2 linked regions of the Oryzias latipes genome follow. The protein of the gene in region 2 interacts with the protein of the main gene of each other region in a pairwise test. Links are inferred from orthologs where the notes say so. Each region holds a gene or a part of one and is shown on either strand. Other genes may lie near its edges. The genes, in order: morn3 and rsph1.

Region 1 (3,668 bases), on a different chromosome or scaffold from region 2:
TTTTCAGTAGGCACTGCATATTTTTGTGTATATTTACTAGTGTTTTGTGAGCCACTGCAATAACTTTTTTCCCTTCACATTAACAGGATCTACTTCAGAAAAGTCCAGTGTTTTGCTTCCTGTCCTTTGAGCTGTCTCACTAATTGTGCCAAATTTGCAGTATTATTTGAGTCTGCTGATAAGTTTTGGCATTTTTTTTTTCATTAAAAAGAACAGATGAAAACCCTTTATTGCCTTCTTTGCAACATTTTTGCTAAATGCAAAATTGAACAATTATTTTGAGATATTTTATATTTTATTAGTTTAAAAACAGAGCAAGCAGACATTTTAGTTAACAAAATGGGCCTAAACTGAGCTGGATCACCTTATAAAAACAAACTGAGAACTAAAGTTTTGTTGGCATAAGGATTTATCCAAATTTTACTATTGACTGTCATCTTAAAAATAAAGAAGTTCTGGTCAAGTTATATGTTTTTCGTTTAAAATTGTGCATTTAGTGCTTATTGCATGATATCCATGAATTTAGGTGGTAATCCTATTTAAATTTGTGCTCTGTTTACATTTTAAGTTCAACAAAAATGTGATCGCTACTATTTTATTGATCATAGTCGAAAATGTAAGGTATAAAACTGAAAATACAGACACAATGAAACAGCATTCATCAGATATTTAGTCTTTACTAGTGTATATTAGGACTGACTGAGCTTCCTTTAAAACCTGCTCTGGGTCCACCAGATGTAGCTTTAGAGAGAAAATAAAGACAGAAATTAGATTACACGAATGTGGCTGAATATGTCATGCATCCTTTTTTCTATGTTTTACCTTTGGAAATTTACACTTTGATGGTTCTGGGGCTTTGTCCTTTTCATATTCACACAGGGTTCCACATTTTGCTTCGCCATCTATCCAGAAGCCTACGTAAAGCAGGCCTTTTTCAGAATTGTAACACTTGCCGCTGCCATTCCTCTTGCCGTCTTTCCAGGAGCCCTCATACCAGCTTCCATTTGCTAGACCGCAAGTTAGATTCAGTTTTTTTTTTTAACAACAAATAGTCCAAACTGAAGAGAGACGTTTAAAAACATTCTTACCATACAAGAGTTTTCCTTCCCCGTGTTCCTTATCACACATCCACTCTCCCTCATAGATGTCTCTGTTCTCATGGAACATTTTTCCCCGCCCGCTCCGTTGGCCCTCGCTCCACTCCCCTTCATACACTGCCGTGTTATTGTAGAAGTAAATCCCGTAGCCCTGAGAAATGATAAAAAGTGTCAATAAACATGGGGAAAGATGTGCCAAACTGTGTGAGTAAAACAAAAACTGTTGCAATACATACATGCTTCTTTCCATTTTTCCACTCTCCATCGTACTTCCACACATAACCTTTTGATTCAGGGTCTAACACATAGTAAGTGCCATATCCATCGTATTTGCCAAATCTCCATTCACCATTGTAAACGGCGCCAGTGTTCTTCCACATTTGAATTCCAATGCCTTAATAATAAATTAGAGTAGTGGCAACAAGAAGCATTAAAAAAATCCTAAAAGTTTGACTAAAACTAATTAAAATACAGCATCTTACCGTGCTTCCTGTTGTCCTGCCATTCTCCGGTGTATTTATCCCCATTAAGGGAAAACACTGTGTGTCGAAATCCAGATTTTAATGTCATGGACTCTTTCAAAGCCGAAGATGGAGGCTCTGTTTTCGAGGGTTTGATGGAAGACATGGCAACTAAGCGCTTGGCAAAACTGGAAAAAAAAGTAATACGTTGGAGAAGGAAAGCATTAAGTTAGTTCTGTCTTTTAAAAAAAAAAAAAAAAACACACAGACACAAAAGTTTTCTTGAAATTCTGAAAATGAAATACCAAAAATTTGCAATAGCAAGTCCTTAAAGCATGATTGACCTTCAAAGGCAGAAATTCAATGTCTGCAGAGACACTTTTTCTGTGGCATTTTGGTAAGCACATGCTCTAAAATGAGCCAAATTAACAACTAAGCATATTTTGTAAATATTTCTTCAATCTTAGAGGGATTAACAAGAGTCCAATAAACTTCCTGACCTTTTTAGTTATGGAGATTTTTTGTTGTTGTTGTTTTTTTTTTTTTTTTTTTTTTTTTTGGGGGGGGGGGGGGGGGTATGTATACTTACAAAGAAAATGCCAGAATACAGAAAGTGGTGGATCTTCGCCGTGGTCCTGAGAAAAATAAGAAAGTAAGCGGTTAGGTATGGACGTGAGTGCTGACAGCGACAGGGCAGTTGTGTCTGCTGTGTCCTAGCAACAGTAAAACGCCCCGTGATTGGATAAAAACAAATCCAATTTAAACTCGTACATTCACATTATTGTTGAATGTTTCTCTGGGCTATTGGAGCTATTTTACTAAATCCGAATGACTGGTAAATGGGGATGTTGACGAAACAAAACTGAAGCGAGGTTCACCACCGGTTTTGAGTGAACCTTCTTGGGTTTACGCAGGCGCAGTGCAGCACGATTAAAAAAAAGAAGCGTCCGAGTGGGACGGAGTATCCTGTTGGAAGAGGCATTCATTGTGACTGCATGCGTCCTCACCACTGACCATTATTTCATAATGTCCTATTGTAAGTTGCAGGCGGAATGGGACGATATAGACAACGAATATCAGCAGTTACAGGTGAGAGTGGTCTATTCTAACGAGGGATTTGTTTTATGTCGGCTTTTTTAGGCTGCCGCGTGCCGTAACTAAGTAGGTACTGTCGCGACCACGGTAGTTTATGGTTTTTTGCTAGTTAGTTGCCATTCATTCTCAGCTTATCTTTAAACCTGAAGCCACTTTCTCTGCTGTTAGTAGCTAAAAATGTGACTCGAATAGACTTTTGCTGGACGTTTAAATATTTAAACTTTACTTAATTATTTGTGGTAGCTGCTAGCGTTAGCAGCAGCATCATCATGATGTTGCTCGTGCTCTTGTGGCTAGTGTGTCGCAGAAGAGCAGCTACTTTTAAGCTAACCAATCATATCGATTAAACTTGCGGAAACGACATGAAGACGTCTCATGTTTAATTCTTTTAATTATTAATAAAGACAAAAAATGTATTGAATATTTCTTTAATCTGCTAAGCTAGTTCAGTTTGGCTAAAACAATTTCTAACTCTCAATGACTTTTTGGACGGTTGTGTTTACTATGAATTCTGATAGCATGGACTGCGTTCAAATTAAAACTGTCCCCCTAATTATCAAGGAAAATAATGTAGAGCTGCTCCTCAGGGAAAGGGGAGTAACGATGGTTTCATTAGAACACACAGACACATTGCAGTTGCACTCAGCTGCTTTCAGGTTATAGGGAAATAATGAAAGAAACCAAAGTAGGTCTGTCATTTTTGGTTTATTAGTCATTTCAAATGTGTACCTGCTTTTATTTTGAAGGTTGTGCTAACACAATTTGTCACCATCTTCTCTTCACTTTTCTAATCATTTCTTCTATTTCTTCCCTGGTTAAAATGTGTCCTGCAGATGCATTTGTAAATTTTATTTTATCAAATTAACTTTTTTCTTTCATGCTTTTACATTTAGTTTAAATTTGGCATAAGTAGGTAGGAGAGAGAAATGTAAAAAAATACTTAGGCTGTCACTATCTTCTACTTTTAATATAAGCTAAAGCATACACCTTCTCTTCTTAAATTATATAGATTGTC
Region 2 (4,454 bases):
TCTACCACTGCAACACGGCCGCCCCTGATGTGGCGAAGAAAACGCAGTAACAGTTTTGTGAGTGGACTGGTTCTGGCCTCAGCATTTCCTCTTTTTCTCACATTCTATGAAAAACTTGACTATTTCCACACCAAACCATCAAAGGTGCCCTCCACAACTGTTTGTTTGATCCCTTGGTGAATTGTTGAGTCTGAACTCCATTGATGATGGTTTTTATTGTCCACTTGCATTTGATAATTTCTTAATCAGTCCAGAGCAGTTTAATCTAACACTGATGAGATCTGACTAAGTTCAATTTCACAGATCAAGAGCGGTTAACCTTAACACCATATTACTTTTAACTGGCTCTCACCTAATACTGTAAACTCTTTCATTCAGGCTTTTATTTTTATTCTTTCCCTTGCATTTTGTGTTGACTTTATGTCCTGTCAGTCCTTTCGTATGTTCATTTTTTAAATTCCACAGATATTTCCTGTCATTTTCCACCTCACTAAGGGGTTTTCTTGTCAAAAGGTTTTTATTTACAGAAGCCAATCAGGTTAGCGGTTTGGCTTAGAGTCGTCTCTGGTGACTCAGCCGCCATAACCCAATCAAAACGCCATCTCCTCCTTGTTTTCTTTTTCTATAAGGCCTTTCCTTATAGCCCCATTTTATGAAGATAAAACTCTGACAAAAGCTCCATCACAGAAGATCCATGCCACCACACCTATGGACTCTGAAGCAGCTTCTTCTCAAAGACAGTGTGAGCATTGAGAAACGACTTTAAGAAAACTTATTGCATTTGATTGATCATTTTTTATGATCAATTGTTTTTTAAAGCTGGATAAACAGATGACCTATTATCATTCTTTAAGTGCTTACATGAAAACAGGTTTTACCTTCATATTTGGAGCCGTCTGGATAGTAGAAGGTGCCCTGTCCATGTTTCAAGTTCTTGAAATATTCTCCCACGTAAACTGCCCCGTTCTTGAAGCGATACGTCCCCTGGTGGATGAAAACAGCCATACGTGGTTACAGTCCCTTAAATCGGGGGTGTCAAACCTAGAACTTTCCATGGAAATTCCTAAAACGTTTCCTTATGGAGAACAAGCAAACAATTCCCAATCCTCAGGGTCGAAGGAAAGTGTTCACCAGTAAGACACAACTCCTGTGTGATGAGCGGTCGGGCGGACTTTCAAAGCGCTAATATGTCAGTGCATTCTGGGATTTGTAGTGCACTAGTGGCACTCGTGGGCCTACTCTACTAGTGATCAGTCCGTCCAAGAATCTATAGGTTATTGTTGCCTACAGTATATGCAGCTGCTATTACCATTGGGTGTAAAATTGATTATAAAAGTGTTAGTATTCCTACAAAATACTTTAAAATTCATATCAATAACATGAATACATTACAGTAACATCCCTGTGCTTTCATACTGCATGTTTAATTAATGAGAATCATTTCTAAAGAAATGTCAAAAATGTTGATGTTAAAAGTACATTGAAGTGTCTTTTTTGAAGGTCAGGTTGAAGCGCATCCTGTTCTGGTTTTTAGACATTTTAACAGAAGTTGTATTCAGTAGTAAACCTGCTGTCGGCTACTTTTCTATATATTCAGCTGGTCTTTTTAAGAAAACAGCTGCTATCTTGTGATTCTGTGTTTATAAGTTGCTTTTAAAAAAACAAACACACTAACTAATAGTCAATCCCCTTCATAGATTTAGGGTTTTTCTCCTTAAAAATCTAAACAAAACTTTTCAAAATAGTAATACATGTTTCATAAGTTACTGAATTTGAGAACAGATATATCTACTAACACTTTTTTCTCAGTTTGATTTCTTGATAAAAGATATTCCACTTTATAGACTCTGTGGTTCTAAAAAAAAACAATACATCTTTCTTTATTTTTCATCCTTAAATGTCTGCATCTATTTCTTTACTGAATGAATCCGTCGTATTTGGCTTATTCTGTACCTGAATGCAGTCAGACAGCTCTGAATAAGACATGTTTTAACTCTTCGTGCCTGATATTATTTCTAATGATATAAAGATATTAAGGTGATGTTAAAGTGGGTGGAGTCCTAGATTTATTGGTATGTTGTGAATTGAAGGGGTTATGATTTCACGTTGCGTACTATGAAACTAAAGTGGAGCAGCCAAAATGACTAGTTTATTCTACCAAATAGAAAATAAACCAATAGTTACTACAACTCTGTTTGATGGCAGACAGTACATACTTTTATTATGGTGTACAGTTTGACTTTTTAAGACAGGAGTCAATAGAAAAGGGGTTTTCCTCTGAAACCATCCTCTAGTGGTAATTAGAAGAACTGCAACATTTATTTATTCATTGTTGTTGTTCTTTATTTATTTACTTTTGCTTTACTTTAAATTTGAAAAGAAATGTGGAGCTTAGCTTGTCAAAATCACCAAGACGGTTTCTTCTCAAAGACATCCCACCCCCCACCCCCCAGCCATTTAATGTATTTGGAATCCATTCTGACCCAAATCATTTTTTTTTTTTAAACACTTGAAACTAGTCATAAGAAATCAGAAAGCATAGGTGGGCCCCCCACCTGCCCGTGCCTCTCTCCGTGCTCGTAGCGGCCCTGGTAGATGTCTCCGTTGGGCAGGACGCTCCTGCCCACGCCGTGCCTCTGTCCCGCATCGTTCCTGTCGCCCTCATAATTCTGTCCTCAAAGAAACAGCAAAAACGGGAAAGCTGTCAGCCGGAAGTCGAACCTCTCGGTTCCGTGTGGTCTTCCTCTTACCGCGAGCTTACTGAGTTCTTCGTTCAGATCTTCGGAACCAGAGAACGACATATTTTACACCTTTTAACTTTATTCTAACATTAACAGACTGCCGTTGCGCGTGCGTATGTCGCTTGTCCGTTGCCGTGACGACAACCCTGGCGCGCGCTTCCGGGGATGCCAGGTTTGGCAGATTTCCGCACAGATGAGGTCTGTTTTTGATCTTGTGGGGTATTTTTCCTCAAATGTACCAGAAAAAATAGGAAAAAGACAATGAAGGCGTTTTTTATTTTAATAATCATTCTTGTAGCTATCTTTTTATTTTTTTATGACTATGATGATGACTAATTACTCCTCATAGACCATGTTGATTTATATTTTAACGGTGTTTGTCGTCTAAGTGGATTAAGTAGATAGACAGTAATTATGAATTAATTTATGTTGATTGATTTAACTCTCCTTCAAATTACAGGAACATTTGATGGATCCAGTCACAAAGATTCACTTCTGATCCAAATCAATAACTTTGCTGAAATGTCTGAGTTATTGCTCTTCAGTCTTACACCTTGCAAGCAGAGGCGGTCCTGGCTAGTTTAACGACCTCTACTCTTCTTCTGTTTCTAAACTGGGTGCCTGATGTTTCCTTTTAACCTTTTGTCCATTTACCACAATCTTGAATAGACTTGTCCGCCTGTCAAACACCCAGAGTCAAGATGAGTGAGATGATGGAAACAAATTCATTTTGAAGCAGACTTCTATCTTCCAGTAAGTAATCCCAATGCGTGCACATTACAAAATACTGTCATTACAGCAACAAGTTGACACAATAGTAGGGGCGCCCCAGTGCAAGTTGTGGAGATGAGTGGTGATTGACTAGAAAAATAGTGGGAGAGGGGGTTGAGGTTTTCTTTTGGTAAATGGCGTATACTTACATAATGTGTTTCTACCTTCCTTGAAAGGCCCAAAGCGCTTTACAGTCACAGACCCATTCACCCAGTCACACACACAGGTAGAGGCTCCACTACCAAACATTGGCGCCAACCTTCCACCAGAGGCAAGGTAGGGTTCAGTGTCTTGATCAAGACACTTCAATACATGGGTGGGCAAGGTGGGAATTGAACCTGCAATCTTACGATCATGGGTCCACCGCCCTACCACTGCACCATGGCCGCCCCCTTTGCAAGATTGAGCCATGGGCGGCCGCCCACATTGCCCACAGGAAAAACTGCCACTGCATTGTGAATGCGCACTTCTGCTTAGTGACCAGCAGAACTCTGGTCCCATTTGAGCAAAGCTCTGCCTCCATTTACCCCCAAAATGTGGAGATTTTATGAGGAACCTTTAAAGATGCTGCTCAGTCATGCGTGTGACACAGACATCTGTAGTGAGGAAAACACATCCTGAAATGGATTTTACGTTAATATCCTTCATCTCAACAGTTTTAGAAAATTCCCAGAAACACTTTGTTTTGGCTCAGCGGCTTTCAGACAACAGACTTTATGTTGTTTATAATGGGGAAAAAATGGAAAAAAGCTAAACAGTTATGCAGCTACATAAGTCTTTCTGGCAACTGAAAAAGATATAAAATTTATTTTGAGGCCAGCTGTGAAGCTGAAGCCTGAACCAATGAAAATGGCACAGTGCTTTATTTTTCTATTGTTGAGTTGAGATTAATGGGTTGATGAGTTTTTCACATGATGTAGGTTTTTTTGTTTGTTTGTCTTT

Evidence for each region.
Region 1: the proteins of rsph1 (region 2) and morn3 interact in binary tests that used the Homo sapiens proteins (3 or more experiments, as listed by UniProt). The two-hybrid records come from large-scale screens. The link is inferred for Oryzias latipes from reciprocal best matches to the Homo sapiens genes RSPH1 and MORN3.

The regions. Positions count from the first base shown.
Region 1 is NC_019870.2:13,849,470-13,853,137, reverse strand, and holds morn3 (MORN repeat-containing protein 3), read right to left. Parts: upstream 2,275-3,668; 5' UTR 2,148-2,274; intron 1,747-2,147; 5' UTR 1,725-1,746; coding exon 1,580-1,724; intron 1,492-1,579; coding exon 1,334-1,491; intron 1,249-1,333; coding exon 1,089-1,248; intron 1,008-1,088; coding exon 823-1,007; intron 742-822; coding exon 670-741; 3' UTR 658-669; downstream 1-657. Other genes in the region: transmembrane protein 120B, read left to right, coding at 2,585-2,647. UniProt on the Homo sapiens protein: Assembles a suppression complex (suppresome) by tethering SIRT1 and MDM2 to regulate composite modifications of p53/TP53.
Region 2 is NC_019877.2:20,918,880-20,923,333, forward strand, and holds the start of rsph1 (radial spoke head 1 homolog), read right to left. Parts: upstream 2,890-4,454; 5' UTR 2,802-2,889; coding exon 2,751-2,801; intron 2,670-2,750; coding exon 2,556-2,669; intron 985-2,555; coding exon 879-984; intron 1-878.